Linked DNA regions of Alligator mississippiensis. The protein of the gene in region 1 purifies or fractionates together with the protein of each later gene. This does not show direct contact. Links are inferred from orthologs where the notes say so. Each region holds a gene or a part of one and is shown on either strand. Other genes may lie near its edges.

Region 1 (7,935 bases):
TGGGGTGGGGGACGGAGTCGTGACAGACTCATCCGGGGAGCGAGGGTTGGGGAATTGAGCTGCTACAGGCACCCCTGGAGGAGCCATGGGGGGCACGTGCCCCCCCCCCCCCGTGCGTGGGGGTAAGGGCAGGCTGCTGCGGTGGGCTGGGGCCAGCATCAGACTCTTCCTGGGGATGGGTTGCCCCCCCCCCCCAACTTTTCCCTCCCCAACAGACTTATCAGCAAGATGCTACTCTGCACGCTTCCTGTGGCAAGGCACTGTTGGTGCCTGCCACTTTAAAGGCTAAGCCAAACAGCCAGCAGGTGCTTGATTTCAGCAGCCATTTTGAGACACTGGCTGCTTATATAAACTGAGCAGATTGCTGCTGGCAGCCCAGGCAGAAATGTTGCTTGGCTGAGCTGCTGTATGAGAATATCTGCAGAAGGCTCTTGGTCCTGGCCATGACCTAAAACTGCACCCTGCTGAGAATGAGTGGCCTGGTGGGGCTCCCAGCAGTGTGGGAGCCTCCACAAAAATACCAGACCAGATACCACCCCAGTAGAAAGTAGGCTGGGGTGCCTCAATAACTCTAGCCCCCACATCACTGTGGGTAGCAGCTGGGGCCATGCATGGCTATAGCCACCTGAGCTCCCACCAAGGAGGGAAGCCCCAGTGAGGGGGTAGAAGATGTGGAGCCCGGTGTGTGTGATGTCTGCCACCCAAGGTGTGTGCTAGATAAAACCTATGGCCAAATGCACCCGCTCTAAAAGGGAGCAAGGCAGTATAAGTTCTTGATGCGTGAAAGAGACCCTGACAGGGGGTGGAGCATGAAAGGCCCTAAGTGAGATGAGGTATGGGCGCATGTATGAGGCCTGACAATGAGGGCTAAGCTTGGTCTGGCTGTAGACTGGGAGTATGTCACCTGGATGCCATCTGCAAGGTTTGGGCTGCAGTGTAGGGAAGGATCAGAGCTGCAGAGAGCACTCCCTGGCATCAGGGCAAGAATGGGCAGCTTTCCACCTGATAAGAACCAATTATAAAACAACAAGGCATGGCAGGAAAGTGTGGCAGGTGGTTAGCCCCAAACAGGTGGGCAGACTGATGGGGGACCGGGCCAGAGAGAGCCCTTTGTTACACTGCCGAGCTGGCTGAGCGCGTGCTGCAGCTGCGCATATGCACATGGCATTTATCAGTGACATTATCTGCCATATCAGCCCCCCCAAAAAATTGGCAATAATGTCAATTTTACCTCTTATTGGTGCCAATACAATATGGATTGATGCATCAGCGCACCACTATTTTTAAGCACCAGGACATTAATGCATGTGATGCTGGAACATGCCAAAAAAAATTGTGTCAGTACGTCAAAATGTGTTGCATCTTAAAGTGAATCAGTTATCGGAGCGGCCGACACAGTTGGTTAATAATAGACTACCAGTATCAGCCAAGAAAACCTTTATCAGTGCGCCACTACGGCATATGTAGACTTTAAGATAGAATGCCATAGTTTCTAAATTTAAACTCAACAGGCTCATTTTTCAAAAGAGAAAAAAAAAGCATATAATAAATAGATAAATAAAAGGTGGATAAAAAGGAATGCGTTTTTAGGTGGAAAAAAACAGTGCACATTTTCTTCCCAGTACTTTCAGCATTTCCTCTTTCAGTTGGGTCAATTACTTCTCCTGCACAATAAAGTGTCTAGTGCTGAAGACATCAACTGCATGAATTGTGTACTTCAGATGTAGCCAGCATCACTGTCCCAATTTGAGCAAGACATGACAACAGTCTTAGCTATTCCATGTAACCACCACAAACTGTACAACAGTTCAGGTTTGTTCATGAAACAGTTGAAGAATTTACAAATGTGTCAGTTTAAGGACAAACAGTATCTTCTATGGCCTGCTTACACAAAGACACTGAATTTGTTAAGATAAACTACATTCACTTCAGTTCTGAAGGAGAGGTAGAGACTTAACCAACATAACCAAGCAACTTGAAAAGTCATACCAATAATTAATTCGTATATACTTTTTTCTGCCATCAAGCCCTAAGTGAGCATATTTATCTCTCTAGCAATTATTCAACTGGTATCTGTTCAGTTCTATGAATCCATTAGACATTTGCAGGCTTTCCAAAATAAAGGAATTAAAATAGCCTTTTACAAAGGTTCTCTCAAGACATTTTTTAGCCATCAGACCATGCAAGGAGGAGAGCAAAGTACATTCTTCTTCTCTGCACGCTTCTGAGTGCCTCCAAGACACACGCTCGGGCAACTTGAACTGGGGGACCCTTACACTGTTTGGGTACTGCTCAAAAGCTACTGAGGAAGAAGGTGGGACCAGGCAGGAGTCCCTGAGAACTTGATGGGCGACAGACGTTAGGCAAGAGAATGCTTTAACTCAGTGGTTCTCAACCTTGTTTGTATGAGGACTCATTTGTAAACATCATGGCCAGTCACCACCCAGTAAATGGTTCAAGTAGCGAGCCCCCTGCCAGCCTGCAAGGAGATAGCTGCGGTTTCCCACATTTTTCTCCTTTAAACGAAGAAGATCTGTGATTTTCTATGTTCTTCCATGATTATTTGCGACCCTTTCATGTATTCCTGCGACCCACTTTTGGGTTGCAACCCTTGCGAAACGCTGCTTTAACTAGAGGCATATCAAACTTGTGGACAGCGGGCCCTTGAGTCGGCAGGGCTCTGCGCAACGGCACGACCCACGGTCCTGCTCCACAGACAGCCTCGCTCCGTGGCGCAGAGCTAAGCTGACGGCAAGAGCCCGGCCAAGGACAACGGGCCGGCCAAGCCGAGGCGAGCCGAGCCGAGCCGCCGGCTTCAGCGAGAGGCAACCACGCTAGCGAGACGCTCCAGACAGAGGCGCCCGGCCCCGCGGCTAGGCGAGGTCCGGCCCGCTGCCGTCCCCACCCGAGCCGGGCCCCCTCCCGCCCCGCGGCCGTGCCCGGCAGGGACCCGCCGCCAGGGGCTCCGGCCGCGCCCCGCGCGCATACGCACACGCACCTCCGGGGGCTCCGGCCAGCGGGGGCTGGGGGATCCCGCCAGCCGGGGGCAGGGAGCTCCCCACCCCCGGCCGCGCTCACTGCCCCCGGCCGCAGCCGCCGCCGCCGCCGCTCCTCCGCCCGCTCCTCACTCGGCGCCCGCCCCGGTCTCCATCTAAAATGGCGACCTCAATCCGAGCCAGACATTTATCGGGGCCCATCGATGCGCTCCGCGCTCCGCAGGGCTCCTCTCCCCCTCCCCCCGCGGAACGCCGAGCCATCGATGGCGCGCACCCGCCAGCCCTGCCCAGTTGCGCGGCCGCCTTTCGGGAGCTGGGCAGGCGCGGGACTGGAGCCGGCGGGGGTTTGGGCACCTCCGCCCCGGGGACCTCCCCACTTCCCTTCCAGTCATCCTTCACCCCCAGGCTAGAGGAGGGAGGAGTGAAGGCAGCGCCGAGCTCAGGGCGCCCCGCAGGGTCCCGTGCTACCCGGCAGGGGCGCCCGTCCGTGGCCGCACCCCCTCGCGTCTCTCCTGGATCCACCCTGGGGAAGGAGCAGTGGGTTGTATCCACCTCTGCAGCATCTGCCACCCCACTTCTCAAAATCCTAGCTGTGCCTATGGGTGGGGCAACCTCTACTAAGTTAATTGGTAGCTGGTTGACGCTAGGGTATCTGGGAGATTTTTTTCCCCGGACTCATTTTGGGCACATCTACGCCTGAAGCTTACAGCAATACAAGCTAAAGCGTGTTTAAATTCTGCTTGCACGTCTGTGTGTGAACTCGTTTCTGTCAGCATAAGGCCTTTTCTTAGTTTAGCTCACATCGGTTTGGAAAAGGTTTAAATCAGACCAAAAAAGGATCTCTTGCTGGAACAAAATTGTCCATCCAGTGTTATAGTGTACCTGAATAACTGGCAAAGCTTTCACATTTAGACAAGTACAATTCTCCCTTTACAATTGCCACAGTCCTAGTTCTATAAAAGAAAAGACAAACTACAAATTAAACCAATGTGGTGTCACCAGCTGCAAGATGCTGACAAACACACGGAAAATTTGGCAGTCAGATATGCACAGTCAGCTTCCCTAAGCCCTTGTGACTTGTAGATGTGCATTTGAAGCCAAAACTGAGGCCATTAGGTGTAAACACACAATTTTACCAAAAGTTACATTTAATAGACCTGAAGAACAGTTCACATTTATAAACAACATCATTATAAACAACAACAAAAACTGATATTTATAAATGTGAGTTGTACTCCAAAGTTTTTAATCAGTATTTTTTGTTAAAATGCTGTTTTTAAACCAAATGGGTCCAGTTCTGGATTCAGATCCATGTATACAAGCCATATGGCCTTAAGAGGAGCTATACGCACATATCTGACTGTAAAATGCGGCCCAGAGAAACAAACATTATATAATGAATGCTTAAACAACTTAAAACTAGGTATGTCTGTATAACACTAGCTGCAATTCTGTCTGTGAGGAAGGTTTTGCCAGAGTATATACAGTTCACTTTAAATAAGGAAATGTAAAATGCAAGTAAAATTATGACAACATGGAAAAAAAAAAAAGAAGAAAGGGTAAGTGATTTCAGGGAAGGAGAATACTATTGGTGTCAGACTGCTAATTCATTTTTAAATTTCCAACAAAGAGAAGATTAAAGCTATGAAAGTGAGATGAAACCATAGTGATTGAACAAATTAATAGAGTTAGGGAAGAAAGTAAATCAAATTTTAGGCTGCTAAACAGTGAAATAATACTGTAAAGAAATAGAGCCTTTTCAAGACATAAGAAACAAGGAACAAGGAAATAGAACAAAGTAACTTTCTGAGATAAATCAATCCAGAATGAATGCTAGTAACTTCTAGTTTATTTCATGTTCGTGTTTGCTTGGGTTTACAGTACAATACAGAATTTCTCATCTGATACGTGCATAACTCATACTGTTATTAGTTCAGATATATGTCAAGATTGTGTGATGTCTGTCTGAAACATTCTGTGCTGCTATGAGAAACAGTGTGGTCAGTAATTAGAATGAAACTAAGGGTAGCTGGGTTATTCCTGTCTCTGCCACTGATCTGTTAAGTAATCCTGGGCAAGTCACTTCATCTTTTGGTATGTCAGCTTCCCCATCTGTTAAAAGGGAATAAGATATACTGACCACTTTCATAAAATGCTTTGAGATCTATTGTCTATAAGAGCTTGGTATTATACTTCTCCATGCCTCAGTTCATTTGATTAGCATTGCAAGACTTAGTTTGTAAATTGCTTTGAGCTCCCCACATGGAAAGTATTACTTGCAAAACATTGTTCTTAACAAATTATGTAACTTTTATTTATAATTTTTCTACATAAAATCAATTAACAGGCCTAAGAATGAACAAGGAATACATAAGGCAAAAACAAAAGGTACCACTAGTAACAAATATTAAACATGCATTATCTGCTATTTAGCTGTGCTGTCTGCTTTTTTCTTAGAGACCTGAGGAATGGTACATAGTACCCAAAAGCTTGTCTGTGTCCCTCCTGACTACATAGTTAGTCCAATGAAAGATACTACCCACAAAGACCTTTGCCTCTCACAAAGCTTCCATGAAACTTAGTACTTAAGTCAAAATTATCTTACTACTTAGTTTAAAAATAGATTACCTTTACAGAGGTGTGCCTCACCTCTGCCATGTTTAATATACAGTATCTGTGAAACTAGGTACAAAAAACTCCAAGGTAAAGAGGGTTGCAAGGACAACTTGAACAAATCAAAATATTAAAACCAAGCAGCTATTCAAGAGAACTATTACTGAATAAGAAAAATTGCACTAGCATGGCTATTTGTACCCTTTTTATATTCTTTTTGTATTAACAAATCCAAAGGGGGGCATCTAAAAGGTGGAAATGGGGAGAGATTACTAAACAGGAGCATACCTCCTCTGCTCGCGCTTGTAGGGAGGCAGTTAGACAGGCCAAAGCTACCATGGAGCTGAGGATGGCATCCCAAGTTAAGGATAACAAAAAATTGTTCTTTAGATATATAGGGAGTAAAAGGAAGGCCCAGGGTGGAATAGGACCTCTACTAAATGGGCATAAGCAATTAATGATGGACAGGGGGGACAAGGCTGAACTCCTCAATGAGTTCTTTGCCTCAGTGTTCCTAAGCGAGGGGCAAGACAAGGCTCTCACTGGGATTGTAGAGAGGCAGCAGCAGGATGCCAGACTACCAAGCATAGACCCTGAGATGGTGCAGAGGCACTTGGAGGAACTGGATGCGTTCAAGTCGTCAGGGCCCGATAAGCTCCATCCGAGGGTACTGAAGGCAGTGGCTGACATCATTGCGCAGCCACTGGCGGGAATATTTGAACACTCGTGGCGCACGGGCCAGGTTCCAGAGGACTGGAAAAGGGCCAATGTGGTCCCCATTTTCAAGAAGGGGAGGAATGAGGACCCAGGCAACTATAGGCCAGTCAATCTCACCTCCATCCTAGGCAAAGTCTTTGAAAAAATTATCAAGGCTCACATTTGCAAGAGCCCGGCAGGAAAAATTATGCTGAGGGGAAACCAGCATGGGTTCGTAGCAGGTAGATCATGCCTGACTAATCTAGTCTCGTTTTATGACCAGGTTACAAAACACCTGGATGCAGGAGTAGGGGTTGACATCGTTTACTTAGACTTCAGGAAGGCCTTCGATACGGTATCCCACCCCATACTGGTGAACAAGTTAAGAGGCTGTGACTTGGATGACTACACAGTCCGGTGGGTGGCGAATTGGCTAGAGGGTCATACCCAGAGAGTCATAGTGGATGGGTTGGTATCGACCTGGAAGGGTGTGGGCAGTGGGGTCCCGCAGGGCTCGGTTCTTGGACCGATACTCTTCAACGTCTTCATCAGCGACTTGGACGAGGGAGTGAAATGTACTCTGTCCAAGTTTGCAGATGACACAAAACTGTGGGGGGAAGTGGACACGCTGGAGGGCAGGGAATAGCTACAAGCAGACCTGGACAGGTTGGACATATGGGCGGAAAACAACAGAATGCAATTCAACAAGGAGAAATGCAAAGTGCTGCACCTAGGGAGGAGAAATGTCCAGCATACCTACTGCCTAGGAAATGACCTGCTTGGAGGCACGGAAGCGGAAAGGGATCTTGGGGTCCTAGTGGATTCCAAGATGAACATGAGTCGTCAGTGTGACGAAGTCATCAGGAAAGCTAATGGCACTTTATCGTGTATCAGCAGATGCATGACGAACAGAACCAAGGAAGTGATACTTCCCCTCTATCGGGCTCTGGTCAGACCGCAGTTGGAATACTGCGTGCAGTTTTGGGCGCCGCGCTTCAGGAGGGATGTGGATAACCTGGAGAGGGTCCAGAGAAGGGCCACTCGTATGGTTAAGGGCTTGCAGGCCAAGCCCTATGAGGAGAGACGAGGGCACCTGGGCTCCTTCAGCCTCCGCAAGAGAAGGTTGAGAGGCGACCTTGTGGCTGCCTATAAGTTCATCATGGGGGCACAGAAGGGAATTGGTGAGGCTTTATCTTTTATTATTCCCAGTTATGTGCAACATCTTTACAATCAAATACTGTAGATAGATCTTAGGCTTTCACTATTTTATTAAATAGAGTGTAACTGTTTAGATACAACATAGAGGAGGGCAGTTTATTTTCCTAAGGATCCTACAATCTAAAAATCAGCCATTGAAATGCATGGGTTGTTCTAACATGCCAGAGGCTGTTCACCTTGGAGACCTGCTGTGGATATGGGTACGGCTCAGTGCGAGATTTACACCTTCTCCCCCCGATTTTCAAGGACCAGCGAGGGCTCATTGGACACTGCCAGAACCACGACACTTTCCAAGGCTTGGGCCCCTCTCTCGGGGCGAACCCATTCCAGGGTGCCCTGCCTTTCACAAAGAAATGGGAACTCTCCCTGGGGCTCCTGACAGCTTCTCCATGATCAGTTGCATTACTGCACT
Region 2 (7,801 bases), on another chromosome or scaffold:
AGTACATAGCAAAAAGGTTCCCTGCCCCAAACAGCTTCAGATGTCTGTATGGGTGTGATGTGATGTCTACCCATCGTTATGCACAATGGCACTCCACACCCATCCACCTCACCTTGATGAGCAAATACAAAGAAAAATTGGTCAGCAATGTAGGCTTCTGGCATGTTCGGGCCATTGCCTAATCACTGCTCTTTGGAGGCATGATAACGAAAGGAGTCTTAAGGAAGTATTTAAAGGAGAACAATGAAGCAGCTTTGCTGGAGCTTACAGGATATCCTCAAGGGACTCTGGAAGAATTGTTTTAAACAAGTGGACAGAAGCAAGCTGCCTCTTCACGTCTCCATGTTGCACCCTCCTGTTATCTCACTCCGCTTTGCTGTCTTTATGCAAGTTTTATCAGGCTGCACATGAAAGGGGGAACACATCTAAGGAAAAAGGTGGTCTTTAATCCCTGATGCTCAGGTCTTTAGGATTAGGAAAGCATTAAGCAATTGTAAGCAACAAAGGTAGCACCTTTCCCCCACTCAGGACTTTCCAAGGGCTAGACCAGGGGTGGACACTAGTGGCACAGGCAGCCCATGTGCATGGCATATGATAGATCAGGGAGGGAACAGAAAGCAGAGCAGCAGGTCAGGCAGGAGAAGGAGATCAGAACTGCACTTGGGGAGGGAGGGCATGGAGCTTTGTATGTAGCACACCAGCCACATCCCTGCTAGTCTAGACAAAGATGGCATCACTAACACACAACTAACCCCAGAGGGCAAGCTCAGCAGTTAGGGGGACAACCAGCATGTGGCGCCACCAGGAGGTATAGGAGAAGTTGGCTTTGGACACAAATGATCCTCCCTTATTAGCACCTGCACAGACACTGACCACAAAACCGTGATTTAAAGCCTCAGCTGATGCTTAACTAAGTTCTGAAGGCTTGAGGCATCTCTGACAGCAAGCTGTTCAGCTGACAGAAAGAAGAGCTTTTATACAGAAGGGAACAGAGGGAAGAAACAGCTGCCAAGAGACTTAGTAATAAGTGGTTCGATTAGATCAATTTAAGATGAACAAGGCAGTTAACTGCATTTTAATTCACCCAGTCAATCTACTTCTTACCTCTCTTAGCAGCAGCTCCTCTCCTTGCTCCCTTCTATATAAAACCCTTGCTTTCTGGCACTGCATTCATAGCACCTGACACAGTACGTTGGTGCCTATAACGGGTCGTGCCTCTGAATCAGTTGGTTTCGTGCTACTCCGCACCATCTTCTGCCTGACTTCAGACTAACGTGATTAGCTATCCGAGAGCGTGCAGCATTAGCCTGGACTTTTAAAACTTTAAGTTTGCCCATTACAGACATCAAGCAAACAAGAGGATGCCACTTGTTCATTCCCAAGCTTTTATTTGCGATTAAAGCAATCTAACCTGAGTCCGTAGATTCTGACGAGGCCATTCTTTGTAGGTTGTTACCGTTCTTCATTTCCAGCATCTGCTCAGAGTTTTCAAATTGGCTACAAAGATCCCAAAATAAGTGAGTTATTTTATTGAATGGTTTTCATTAAGAAAAAGGAGAGACGACAAATAAACCGCGTGCAATTTACAAGATAAACCCAAGCTTCAAGTAGGGATCAGAAAACATGTCGACCCGTTGCGAGCTTTTCGAGTTCTTTGCAACAGAAAAATTGCTCTGGTATCATTTCACGAGCGACGTGAGGGAGAGCAGGGAGCCGGTGTTTTTTGAGGAGGGCCTCGAGTCTAATGCGGGGACACCCATTAGATTTGGAGGACCTCAAGTCTAAAAAGCATTGAGAACCGCTGGTTTAATGAACGACGTGGTCACGGCTCCAGGACCCAGCAGTCTTGAATAGTCGCTGTAAGGACAGCGTACTTAGTGGCTCCATCACACTCCCCGCCACTGGCCTGGACCCCGTGCCGCTCAGGAAATAAACCCCCGCGTGTTCTCACGTGTATTTCCACAGAGGCACTGCTCGTGCGAAAACCCACCAAGCTCTACAACCACGAACGGGGGCTCACAACCGCCGCGACTGAAAGCGCGCTCTTTGCTTTCCGGCTTTGGAGCGTCTCGGGTCCCCACCTGCGCCTTCCCAAGCGAGAATCAGACACTTTCTAAAGAGAATCTCAGTTTTCCTTCCGCCCGTCTCGGCCCTACCAGAACGGTGCAGATTAAGTCAAAATCGGCACGGTTCGAAATCCTGGAAGACGACGACGCTCCCTGCAACGGGTGCGATCGCTGGAATCGATTTTGGGACGAGACCCGTGAGAAAGTCGGATGGTGGCCGGCGGCCAAACCCAGCCACTCGCCTCGGTTTAGGGGAGACCAGGGGATGTGGGGGTCACCTCAGGGGTGGGGGGGAAGGGCAGGCCTGTGTAAAGGGGGGTTTGAGGGGTGGGGGAAGGGCAGGCCTGTGTAAAGGGGGGTTTGAGGGGTGGGGGAAGGGCAGGCTTGTGTAAGGGGGGTTCTGAGGGGTCTCACCTTCGTCCGAGGCGGCCCAGGGCGAAGCCGAGGCCGGTGACCGGGGAGAGCTCTGCGGGGAACAGGGCCTTGACGGCGGCGGCGGGGGGCTCCATGGCGGCGGGCGCGCTGAGCGCAGCTGTCAGCGCAGGGGAGCTTTGACCCCCCGCGGCCCCCGTCCCTGAGCGCAGCCGGCGCGCGCGCGCTCTCCCGCTCCGCCGCCCCCCCGCTCCGAAGCTGGCGCCAAAGCGCGCCGACCAATCAGCAGCGGCGGCACCCAATTTCAGCCCGCCCACCTGGCGCCAGTCTCGTTTCCCTTTCTCGCCCGGCCCAGCTGTCGCGCTGAGCGACGGAAAGAGTGACCAATAGCACGCGGCGCTTCGCCTTGCCGGCAGCCAATCCCCCCAAGCCTGTCCCTGAGAGGTTAACAGGCCTCCTCAGTGCTGACCAATAGAACAGACAAGGAGGCTCGTGTGCGGCCAATGGAAACGAGCCTAGCCCTGTCTCCTCCCTCGCCCAGGGTTGTTTGACAGCAGACCCGACCACTAAGCTTGCTCGATGGGCTCGTCGGCGGCTTTTCTCGTGAGCAAGCCAACAGCATGCAACCCCATGCTGGCGCAAGCGCCAACAAGACTGGAAGTCCCAGCATGCAATGCTCCTCTTGGCCCAAAGGGGAAGCTGGGCCGCCGGGCGCATTGCATGCTGGGACTTGTAGTCCGCAAGTCCCTTCACCCAGCTTCATTGTGGGGCATGAGGCTGCTCTAGAGACCCAGCTTGGCCCCCAGGTCCTGGTCCAGCCTCACACAGCCATGAGGTGCACACATGGCAGCCATTCCCGCAGTGTCCAGGCCGGCCTCGCTAGCTTAGGACGAGCCTCTCGGTGCTCCGTGCTTTCCTGTCAAGCCCCAGCTCCTGGAGGCATGGGATGAAGACAGCAAACCACCCTAGCTGCCTCGCATCTCTGCTGCCAGGCACCTTGCTGCCCCGCGGGGTGGTGGGGATGAGCGACACCCTACAACGTGTCGTGGGAAACACGGCGCCCTGTCGCTGCAATGCCAGGGAAGGACTGGGCTAGTGTTTGCTCACGATCAGAGAAAAGGCCAGCCAGCCATGCTCCGTGGGAAAGCAAAACCCCCTTGCAGCCTTTGACAGTTTGACTCGAGGAAAACTTATTTCCTGACCCCAGATTTGGAGATTGGCGCGGCCCCCGAGAGGATGAGCATTCAGGACCTTCCATCTAGGAGCATCTGGGCTTCCTATATAGGGGCCAGTCAGCATCGCCAGCCGTAGCTGTGACCCGCACCCAGCGCATCAGAGGAAGACGAAACAAAAGAAAACCAGAATCCTGTAATAGGGAGAAGAATTCCTTCCTGGCCCTATTGGTGCCCAACACAAGCCCCAAACCATTACATTATCACTATACACGACAGAAGAAAAGTTTATACCCCGATTTGGGGATGGAAAAGATGTACTTTATTTCACAAATCACACATACTGATGACAAAGCCAACCACCCCCCAACCCATGATCCCCACCCTTCCCTCCCTTCCACATCCTTCCTGTCATTTCTGATCCAAGTGAGAGCTTTGCAAGATCAACGAGGGTCGTCTGCTTTGGATGCGGCACCGCTTTTGTGTGAAGGCTTTGGTAAAAGGTGGCTGATAGCTCAAAATAAAAAGGCGTTGCACAAAATGTCAGTTCCAGGCGGCCGCGGCGGGGAGCGTCACGGGTTTCATTACCAATGTTGTGTGTGTACGTGTGTGTGCACAGTGTAGAGAAAGACCACTGCACATCCTTGTGTCACTGAGCGGGATGTTTAGGTCAATGCTGCAGATAGGTCTTGAGTGTTAGAAGACAGCAATCACACAACTGACAGCAATTACACAAAGACACCAATCACACCCTCAATGACACGGCCCCTTGTGTATTCCACTGGTTAGGACCGTGGGATTGGGAAATGCTGCTCCGACCCCTCGGCTCCAGTAATGCTGTAGATCAGCGGTACGCGTACCACCACAACCTGTCAGTGTACGCATTCACTGATTTATTACAACTACTTTATATGACAAAACTTTCCTGGCGGTACTTAAGGTTGAACTGAAAAATGTGCTAGTGGCACGTAAGGTTGTATCATTTTAAACTGGTGGTGCGCAACCCGTCAGAGTTTGGGAACCGTTGCTGTAGATGAAAGGATCAGTGCGAACATGAATGGAAAGCAATGGGGCGGCACTCTTGGGACTCTTCCGCACTGGGGTTCAATGGGGCTCCATTCAGCCAAAAAGTCACCTTAGTGTAGGATTAGACCTTAAATTTATCTCTTATTTTGTTTTTCTAGATGTTTTTTTTAACCGAAGAAATGCTGGGGTTAGTTAGCCTTGTATTCCTAGAGAACTAGAATAAGCACCTGGCAGGGGTTTCTTCAGTTTGCATTTGAAAGGTTATGATTGAGGTGGGTGAATCATTCATCCCTAAACCTTTTTCTCCCTATTGTTTTCCAGGTGTTTGACTTAAACAGGCGCTAAGTAACACTTCTTTATCATGCAGAGCTGCGATCCCAATATACAAGGTTGGAGGGTAATGGATAGATGGCCCCTGTGCCAAGGGAGGCTCAGCAATCTTGACCACGCTCCAAATGTCCCTTGGGACACTATCCCAACCCCGGGCAGAAACCTCCTTGGAGAAGTGGTTCCCAAACTGCAGTTTAAAATGATACAGCATTAAGTACCACCAGCAATTTTTTCAGCTTGGCCTGAAGTACAACCATTAATTTTTTGTCATATAATTCTAATAAATCTGCCAACGTGTACCACTGGTGGTACCCGCACCACAGACACTGACTTAGAGTATGATTTGAGGCCGTTCTGGCTGAGCCAGAGAGCAGCTCATGATCCCTAATCCATGCATTGTGTACGCGTGGACAAGGGGAGCCCGGCTATTGCTTTCATGTGACACCACTTATCTATCAGCAATGAACAGCTAAAAGAAAAGCAGCAACATGCAAAAAGCAAAGCTTGGGGCTAACAGAGAAACCCCAAAAGAATCCAAATAGTCTGATTAAGCCTTTCTTCCCCTCTCAGCTGCTCAGTTTTCAGGCTTTTGTCTCATAGTAACCCTACTAGTAATGCAGTCCTCTATTGTGAAAATAATGTTCCATGGCTTTCTTATGCATCCAAAGGGGAAAAAAAGCCAAAAGCTCATTTCCCCCCCTTTGCAGATCATATTTAACTCATTGGCTCTTTAGCATCTTCCAGTTGGCGAGAGTCACCAGGCGCCTGCAGCTCACCGCTCTGGTTTATTTTTTGTAGTTCCCCCCGCACCCCCAGGTCTGGTTTACTTGTTCTCTCTCGTTAGCCATCAGAACGAGCAGTCCACCGAGCATCCTTGCACAGCGGCGTGCTGCGGCACGCTTTCACCTGCCTGCGAGAAGAGCTGCCGAGCGGAAAGGAAGCGCGGTCCCTGGCAGAGGTGCTGTGTGCGGCTCTGTAGCCTCCCTGCTCATGCGAGACATGTGCAGGCCTCCAAGAGAGGAAAATGCATTTGTGCATTTCTCAGCCTCCTCCCTGAACTGTCACAACATCTGGGTTCAATTCCCTCCCTTCTTGATAATTCCTTTCCCCCCCTTCCAGTACCGTTATCACATGAACACGCATGCGTGTCTTTAAAAGGTGAAAAGGAAGGTGCTACACAGGGACAGCATCCCCCAAGCCAAAGCTTTAGGATGGGCCGTTTCCTCCTGCGATGGCAGCTTGCCTGGGACCGGTTTCACATGGCTGCAGGAAGAGGCGTGGAAGTGGTCTGTGAATGCATCTGGAATAAGAGACTTCTCCCAAGTGACCAGGATTTGCCAGAGCTGCTAATGTTGGGTTGGTGGCCGTTCCCTGCAGGTCTGACTCAGTCTCCCAGGGGCATTGATATGCTGCCATCGCTCTGCCAAGGGCTTTCCACCAAAATGCTCCCTGGTGACAGCCCCTAGATCCCAGGAGCAGAGGGATGAGAGGCTAGAGAAACAGGCGTTTGCTTTCCAGCTGAAATTAAAAGCTTGTCTTAGCACCGAAACGGAGGAGGACGGCAGCAGAATTTCCGATGGTAAAATCCAAATTTCTGGAGCAGGAAGCCAGAGCCTGCAAGGTTCCCGGGGACCTTCCCCATACCTGCCGCTAGATGGTACTTTAACATGAAATACCCATACGGAAATCTCGATGCATCACAGCTGCACCGACTGGCGCCCAACCCCTTGGCGGATGTCGCAGACCCATGTCATTGCAAGGACACAGGAACACTTAGCTTGATTTGCTCAAAAGCTTTTGAGGAAGAAACCAGCCTATGAACACCGTTTACTATTGGTTACTGCTTCAAGCCAGTAGGAAAGCACAAACAAGGAAGGAGAGGGCGGTCAAAATTGCTACGAATTTGGGGTCTAGGAAAGATGCCGCATCGGCTGCCCCAGAGATGAACAATCTTAATTCAAGTCACGATTCAAGCCAGCAACCAAACCCCAGGTCTTCGAGCCACCAGGCTCCTCTCAGAATGGCGTTCCTATTCAGTATTTATGCCCCAAACTTCCTCCCATGCTTCTTTTACTGAAGCCACCTGTGTCTCAGGTGGCTTTTCCTCCTTCCTGTGCCCCTGCAGAGTGCTATGATGCCCTCCCCTTACCCATTCAAACGTGGAGTATGGAGCGCTCTCGAGGGGCTTCGCAGCACTGGGTGGGGATGATCCAGGGGTAGGCAGGGAGTTTGTGTGGTTTGTTGTGAAACAGATGCAGAGCATCCCCGAGTGTGCAATCCTATAGACCCCGTCTCTCTGGCTCCGATGAAGCGTCCAGGACTACTTCTGCAAGATGCTCTGAGAACAGTGATACCCTTTAGGGACGCAGCCGGAGCTGGGAGTTGGGCGACCAGAGCCAAAAGTAAGGGAAGATTTTCTCGTGGAAAGTGGCAGTGAATTGGTAGATTTGCACCATGTTCTCTGCGTTGTAGAAGGTCACCTGCCCCTCTTCGTAGTCCAAGTGGACTCTGATCATCCTGGGCTTCTCCTCCAGCAAGACCAAGGTTGGGGGGAAAGTGAGAGCTGTGTACTGATCGTTCCAGCCACGCCGCAGGGCCCAGACCCCTCCTGTTATAAGATCTTGCTGCCCTTTCCTCTTCACGGACTCGGTGGCAACCCCCACAGCCCAGGAGTTCCCGTCGCCTACCTCCACCTCCCAATAGTGCCTCCCTGCTGCGAATCCCTCGGTGCCCAGGACGCTGGGGCTGGAAGTGAACCTCTTGGGGTTGTCAGGGATGTCCGACTGCTTCTGTCCGAGCCTCATGCTTTTCCCATCCTCCGACAGCGCAAGGAAG
Region 3 (7,181 bases), on another chromosome or scaffold:
GCCTCCAGCTACACCTTTCCTGTGGAGCCCCAGAAGCCCTTTGAATCCATATACCATTATCAACTCTTATAGTTTTTAGACACAAATCTTGGGAGAGCTCTTCTTAAACCCACATCTCTTGGAATCATGAGATTAGATGAGGATCTTGGTTTTCAATTTTTAAACAGTTGCAGAGAAAAAGCTTGAAAATGTGACTTGTGTACCCTTAGCAGCTTGAAAACAAGGAGACAAAAAGAAACCCAAATATCCAAATGAAGTACTTAAAGAAAATTTTCTTGATACCACAGTGATATAGCACTCCTTATATATCTAAAAAATAGGGTAACAGGTTGCATTCTATCTTCCAATATATATATCATTTTGAATATCATGAAAACACTGTTCTCTGTATTTCTGATTTTAGTTGGCCTAAGAGTGATTAAAAGCAAATTCAGGATCCTCCTCTAGTGCTACACTCCTTACCAGAACACAGCTTAACCCAGTGCAACAGATGCAGGTTGCACTGTCGTTACCAGATGAGAAACTTGGTATTTGTTTCTTTGTGAGAGCTGTTAAGAACTCTCCCCATGCTACCACATTTAATCATTTAAATTACTTCTATTTAAAGCTTATGCAATATAATTTGAGGTACATTTTTTAATTGGTTAGCGGCTCTTTGTCAGTTCTGTCACTGTGTGCATTTTACTATGTGGTCTTTTTTTGAAACTAGGATAAACACAATGAAGCACTTTTTCAGTTGAATATCATGAACAATTTAGAAGCCATGTTTCTCTGCTCAGGTAATTGATTTACTTAATAAAATTACAGATAAACAAAAAAGCTCCTCTATAGTGTCAAGAAGACAGAAGATGGCATGGGGGGGGGGGGAGGAGGGTGATGGACAGGACAAAAAAAAGTACATCTGATTTTATATATGTAAAATATAATTTAGAACACTGCATTAATTTAAATACAGCCCAGAAATAGACACTTTCAACCTGTTCTCAATTGCAGTTGACATTTCTTGGAGAATACTGAAAGTTATGGTGATACTCAGGCTCAAAGAAACAACTAATATTCCAAGTTAATGGCCACCTGTACTCCTTTTCACCAATTTTCTCTGTGCAGCAATTCCCTAATGGCCAAGCCAGCACATCTAAACAACTGTTGCACTACAGCCCGGTTTCAAAGGGTGATCCTCTCTCTTTCCCTTCTATGTCCGTTTACTAGCTTCCATCTTTGGACCCTTCTACGTTTCCACTCCCAAGCACAATGCAACAAGTATTCAGTCTTAATATGGCACGCATTACTCTCTTTCCATCCTAGCCCCTCATCAAAGAAAAATTATTGGTGTTACTGTCTAAAAGAAGTACTTAATTCTTCAAGGCATTAACTATATAGTTCTATAAATCCACTGGCTGCATGTCTATGCACAGACCCAAGCAAGTCTGACAAGCTTACGAGAGCAAACCCTTGGGACGTAGTAGTCAAAGTTGTATCTGGGGAGCAGCAAAGGAGAAGCTGAGACTATATATACAGCACAGTATTTTTAGGGGTGGTGATAGCCAAGGAATGTAATCAACTGAAAGACCTTATTTATATATGAAAAGTTTTCATTTACTATAGTTACAAACCCACAATTTCAGTTACTGTAACTAAAACAATGTGTGAAAGGTGAGATTTCTCTTCTTTTAAGCTGCTTTACTACAGCTGGGTAATTTTTTTTTAACAGTCTGTGCACCAAAAAGTGCAGCTTTAGCTTAAAGGGGAAAAAAGTAAAAATAAATTAAAATGACATTCTGGTTTGATGGTTTTTTAATGACACATTTTAACTTTTCCTTTTGGAAAAAAAAAATTTTTTTTTTACATTGGAAGACCACCTAAAAGTGACTTCAAAATTTACCATTCGGAGTTTGAAAGAGGTCTAAAAAAACCCCAAATTTAGTGATTGTTAATTGTATTCAACCCAAAATATGGAGGACTTTTTTTTTTTTTTTCCAATCAGGTATCCAGATTGTTGCTGTCTTGACCAAGAAGCAAAAGGAATCAAAACTTGTGGCAAAGGTAATACATTTTATTAGATATTTGCAACAAAACTTCTTTATTTGCAAGCTTCTGGGCACAGGCACCCATCACCAGGCACGGAAGATCGTAAAGACTGTAAACATTCTCCTAGGTAGAAATGAAAATGTGTATGTCATTTTGGGGGGGTTGAGGGTTGTTTTGTTTTTCGGGGGGGGGGGGGGGGTTCTCCACAGACAAAATGGAAATAAGATGTTTTGCAAGTGCAGGTGGAAGACCCCAGGGTGGGTGAAGTTTGGCAGTGACAAGAAGTAATGCCAGACAGGGAAGAGGCAATTTTTTAAACATTTTTCATGTTCCAAGCCAAATAGAGTCCAAATCCAAGAGTCAGTCCAGAACTGTAAACGGCCCTAAACCGGCAAACATCCTCCACCCCCACCAGGGGCTTCAGATACTTCCAAAGTCTTTTGGGGGGCATCCTATGTGCAGGCCCAAGCCTGGAGGCTTGGGGATGGGCGGGGAAGAGGTGCCCACTGCTGCAAAGTAGGAGCGCGAGAAGGGGAGAGTGCCATGATGAGACCTGCTTTCCTTTTACAAAGCTAGTCTGCCCACAATTAAGGGCTGTTAGTAATGTGAATTAAGCTGAAGAGTGAGAATTAGGACCAAAGCGTATATTTACTCTTTAAAATGTACAATAATATCTCATGCATAAAGCCGAGCCCTGAATAAAGAGCTGCGGACTAAGTGCGAGAGCTAGAGCTGGAGCCGAGCCGAGCCGAGCCGAGCCGGGCGGCAGGAGCCCTCCCCGCCCCGCCCCGCCCCGCCCGCACCTGAGCTCCAGCTGGTCGAGGCGCTCGAGCAGGCGGCCGGAGCGATCCGCCATAGATGTGGAGCGGTAGAAGCGGCCGCGGGGCTCGGCCGCCTTGGCGCTAATCTTTGCCTGGGCCATGGCGTTGCCTCACCCGGAGCCGCCACCGCTCGGAGCCCGGCGATGCGCCACCCCCGAGCTCCGCCCGCGGCCAGGGGGGCGGGCATGGGCAGCGCAGCCCAGTCCCAGGGGCCGCTGCTATGTAGCGGCCCGCCACGTGGGCGGTGCCGCCCGGCGGCTGAAGGAGAAGCCGCGCTGGTGCCTGGGGGCGCGGGTGGGTTCCGCCAGGACAGCCCGTCCTGAAGCCACGTCGCCGCAGCCCGGCCCCTGCGCCAGAGCCTGACGGCCCGCAACCCTAGCCTGCCGCACTGCAGCGTCTCCTCCGCTCTCCGCAGACGGAAACCCGGAGAGAAACAAGCACAATCCCGGGTCCGCCGACGTGTGAGCTCTGCCTAGAGCTGCCATAAGCAGACGAGGTTTTTTGGATAGCTCTATTAATACTTCGTATTAGATCAGCTAAATAGTTGCAAAAATAGTTCTTTGCAAGCTTTCGGGCACAAAGATCCTCCCTCCTTCAGGCATACCGAGACCCTGCTCTGCCTGGGGAAGGGTGTTTATCCGGGAAAGCTTGTAAAGAATTTTTCCAATGATTTAGTTGGTCTAATAAAAGAAATCACATCTGCCCCAAAATCCTCCTCCGCTTGTGTCCTTAGGCTACAACCACACTGGTAAGAGCTGCCCTAAGGCCTTCACTCCTATCCCAGTACCTGTGGCTGGCCTTGGACCAGGGCTGCACCAGCCGCCCACTGGTACAGGAAGTCTTCCTTTCCCACCTCCATTTTAAATGATCGTTTTACTGAAGTCCGGCTTGAGTCCTGAAGGCAAGTAAATCCCAGCTAAAAATGTGAGCTACAGCTGCAGTTTCAACCAGCTTAAGGAGATGCAATAAAAGAAAAAAAGATGTAAAAAAAAAAAAAAAAAAGAGCAAAATGTGTGCCAACATGTTTAAAATTAGCATGGAAAGAAGTTCAAACCATGCTACAGGAACAAACAGACTCAGACATTTTATTTACATAAAGCGACTTCCCAATTCTAATCATAAAGGCTGCTTCATGTTGCCAGCTAATAGTAACATTACGAAAGAGGCCTGGTAACACTACCATGCTTAGAGAAGCTGTTGTGTGGTCAGGGGCGATCCAGGAATAGCTGTACCTCCAGCTGGAAATGCTGTCATTTTGCTTGATCTTCTGGGTTCCCCTATGCTATGGTGCAAGTAATTCATACAATTTATCTACTTCACAGAGGATGGATTAACACTTGGTTACTGGGTCCTTCTACACCAGTGGTCATCAACCAGTCATCAATCACGCTGGACTGGTCAATCTGCCAGTTGATCTGAGGTTGGGGGTGCTGAGAGAGTGCATGCACATGCCACCCACCACATCTATGAACAGGGTGGAGGTGGCTGCCGCTGCACACTGGGCTTTGCTCCCTGCTGCAGCTGCGCTGTGCTCCCTGCCAGCCCAGTGGCAGGACACACATGGTGTTGTGTGGTGCTTGGGGCAGGGCTCAAAGCACAGCATACAGCGGCTGTCGCTTCCACCCTCACTGCACACAGATGTCCCACCACCCAGCCTGACTGGGGCCCCACTCACTCCACCCCTGCTCCTACCTGTGCCCTGCTCTCTCCTTCACTGCTGGAGCCTTGATTTGCCCCCCTCCCCCCATAGCCCTTTCTACTCCCCCTGTCCCTTCTCCCACAGACTTACCTGCTCAGGGGGGCACCCTGAGAACCCAAATAATTTTTTCTCCCTCCGCCTTGATTTACCCTTTCCCTTCCCCTTCACCACACAGACTGACCTGCAACAGGGGGGGAGGGGGGGGGAGGAGGCACAGTAGATCTTGGATTGTTTTTTAATTCAAGTGATCTTTTACTTAAAGAGGGTGGAGATCAGTGTTCAACGCATTCATTAATGCACTGTTGGTTCAGTGGTTCTAAACCTTTTTGTACTGGGACTCATTTGTAAGCATCAGTGGCCAGTCCTGACCTGGTGCCTCCAGGCCCCAGCCCCCCAGTGTCAGGGGGTGTTTGGCCTTGGGAGCTCTAGGTAGCCCCTTGCAGGCAGGAGATCCACCAGCCTGCAAGGGAAAAGCACCGTTTCCCACATTTTTCTCCTTTAAAGGAGAATCAATTTTTAAAGTTTGTTTGTGCCCTTTTCATATATTCTTGCAACCCACTTTTGGGTCATGACCCACAGGTTGAGAAACACTGCTTTAGGTAATACACATTAAGTCTATTTTGATGTGCATTAGCTAAAGAGCACTTTTTGTGAGATTTAATGTGCATTAGGAGAGGCTAATTTGCATTAAAGCCCACATGTAGACACACCCACTGGTGTAAAACACCACACAGCCCTACCTTGCCTCCACTTATAGGATAATTATAACAGAAATAAGGAGGAGTCAGGGAGCGCCTACTAGTATCTAAGAAGAGTGTGCTATTTGTAAGACACAATAATTGACTTAAGAAGCAACCATACACAGGTAAGTCTCCTCTGACCTCACTATTACACATGGTTCTAATAAGTCACATACAGGGCCCAGTTGCCATTCCTTTGTATCCATTTTAGATCAGAGACGACAGGAGTTTGAAAACCCCAATTTCTTTGGAAGGATACTACTTTGTCCACCCCACTGGTGGCCAACCTATGGCATTAGCAGTCATTATGTTTGGCGCACATGCCCTGGGCACTGAGTTGGAGCGGTACTCTGGAAAGGGAAAGGGATTGGAGTGGCAATCTGGGACCAATGCTGGCTCAAGGGTTTGGGCTCACCTGATTCAGTGTTGCCACATCCTGGTGACAAATGATGGCACTGGATGACAGCAGTGGCTGATAATCACAGTAGCACTACTTTGGACCTAACTTCCAGCACACTTCCCAAGAAGGCTGGACACACTTTACCAATCAACTTTTGCCTTTCAGTCAGGGAAACTGATGTTGCCCATGCTTAATGCATGCTCACAGTAGTATGAATCAAAGTGTTCTCTCAGGCTTGTCCATTAAAAATGACATCATTTCCCAAATGCTTTTGATTTAAAACCAAACCACTCAGCCAGCCTTGGCCTAGTTTACTATAATGCCCTTCTTCTCTGAGTGGCTGCCCTGTTAGATTGTGCAACAAATTTCCTTGTAGCACTTGCTCTATTTTGTTTAGTCATGAAGAACAGGTACCTTGTATCCCCAGAAATGGGATAGCAGACACATTCAGTCTGGATCTGCCACTGTGTATTCTTTTTGAGATGCATTTATTCCATCCAGGCTATAATTTATTCTAAATGGATAGTGTATAAAGAGTAAAGAATTAAACAATGTAAAAAATGTATCCTGTAAAATGCTTTATTACCATATTTACCTGAACACAAGACAACCCTTGATATAAAATGGGGTTGTCCCCCCCAATAATTAGATTCTACACACAGAAAATGTATACATTTATTATAATTATCCAGGTGTGGAATTGAATTATTGGAGGACCATCTTAAATTCATCTCCCCCCACTACTGCAGGTGGTGTGGGGAAAGGTGGTAAAGGGGTAGTAATGGGGCAGGCAGTGGAAGAGGAAGGCAGCTTGCTCCCTGCCACCTCTCTCCCCACCTATGCTTACCTCCTATTATGCTTTCCCCCACCCACCCCAGCCTCAGGCTGCCCCCAATCCCTCCTTCTCCCTCCATGTCACTTCTGGCTGCTGGTTGAGCTGGGGGCACAGCAGCAGTGCCTGCTAGGTAGGCTGAGCTCCTGATCCTAGCTGGCAGCACCTGCTGTGCAGCCTTACTTTCCTTTTTCCTACAGCAGAGGCTTATGCAGCAGAAGCTGCTATTACTATTTTTCCTCACTTAAAACATGCACCTCAAGTTCCAGCAGCTGTATATAAGAAAAATGTGGTAATTTATTCTGTAATAATTCTATTTCTTTGTCCAGTTCAGTGGTTCTTAAGCTTTATCAACTAAAGACTCTGCTCCATAACTTTTGTGAGTTGAGTGGTATCCCATTTAAAAAAAACAAACACATTTATTACTGTGTTTACCTCCTTGCACAAAGGTCAGATAGTGTCAGGAGAAAAGGGGGGGGGGGGGGGGGGGGGGGGAAGAAGAGCAGCCATGCAGGGACCAGCATGTAGTTCTCTCCTTGCAGAGGGCCCAAATAGTTAAGATATTGCGCTTTTCCATCCAAAGAGTTATTGTAGAAAAACAGTGTTACAACTCTCTGTCCCCACACCTGAAATTATTATTGTTGCTATTTCTAAGAAGGAG

What was found. The genes of interacting proteins can lie anywhere in the genome.
Region 2: the proteins of RAF1 (region 1) and CDC25A purify together in Homo sapiens (affinity purification with western blotting; 3 studies listed by BioGRID and IntAct, with this or other methods). This does not show direct contact. The link is inferred for Alligator mississippiensis from reciprocal best matches to the Homo sapiens genes RAF1 and CDC25A.
Region 3: the proteins of RAF1 (region 1) and BAG2 purify together in Homo sapiens (co-immunoprecipitation; 3 studies listed by BioGRID and IntAct, with this or other methods). This does not show direct contact. The link is inferred for Alligator mississippiensis from reciprocal best matches to the Homo sapiens genes RAF1 and BAG2.

Annotation. Positions count from the first base shown.
Region 1 is NC_081835.1:30,639,857-30,647,791, reverse strand, and holds the start of RAF1 (RAF proto-oncogene serine/threonine-protein kinase), read right to left. Parts: upstream 3,154-7,935; 5' UTR 2,999-3,153; intron 1-2,998. UniProt on the Homo sapiens protein: Serine/threonine-protein kinase that acts as a regulatory link between the membrane-associated Ras GTPases and the MAPK/ERK cascade, and this critical regulatory link functions as a switch determining cell fate decisions including proliferation, differentiation, apoptosis, survival and oncogenic transformation.
Region 2 is NC_081828.1:218,038,054-218,045,854, forward strand, and holds the start of CDC25A (M-phase inducer phosphatase 1), read right to left. Parts: upstream 3,071-7,801; coding exon 3,015-3,070; intron 2,802-3,014; coding exon 2,481-2,801; intron 1,498-2,480; coding exon 1,412-1,497; intron 1-1,411. Other genes in the region: E3 ubiquitin-protein ligase TRIM39, read right to left, coding at 7,324-7,801. UniProt on the Homo sapiens protein: Tyrosine protein phosphatase which functions as a dosage-dependent inducer of mitotic progression. Directly dephosphorylates CDK1 and stimulates its kinase activity. Also dephosphorylates CDK2 in complex with cyclin-E, in vitro.
Region 3 is NC_081824.1:51,387,181-51,394,361, reverse strand, and holds the start of BAG2 (BAG family molecular chaperone regulator 2), read right to left. Parts: upstream 3,071-7,181; 5' UTR 2,951-3,070; coding exon 2,832-2,950; intron 1-2,831. UniProt on the Homo sapiens protein: Co-chaperone for HSP70 and HSC70 chaperone proteins. Acts as a nucleotide-exchange factor (NEF) promoting the release of ADP from the HSP70 and HSC70 proteins thereby triggering client/substrate protein release.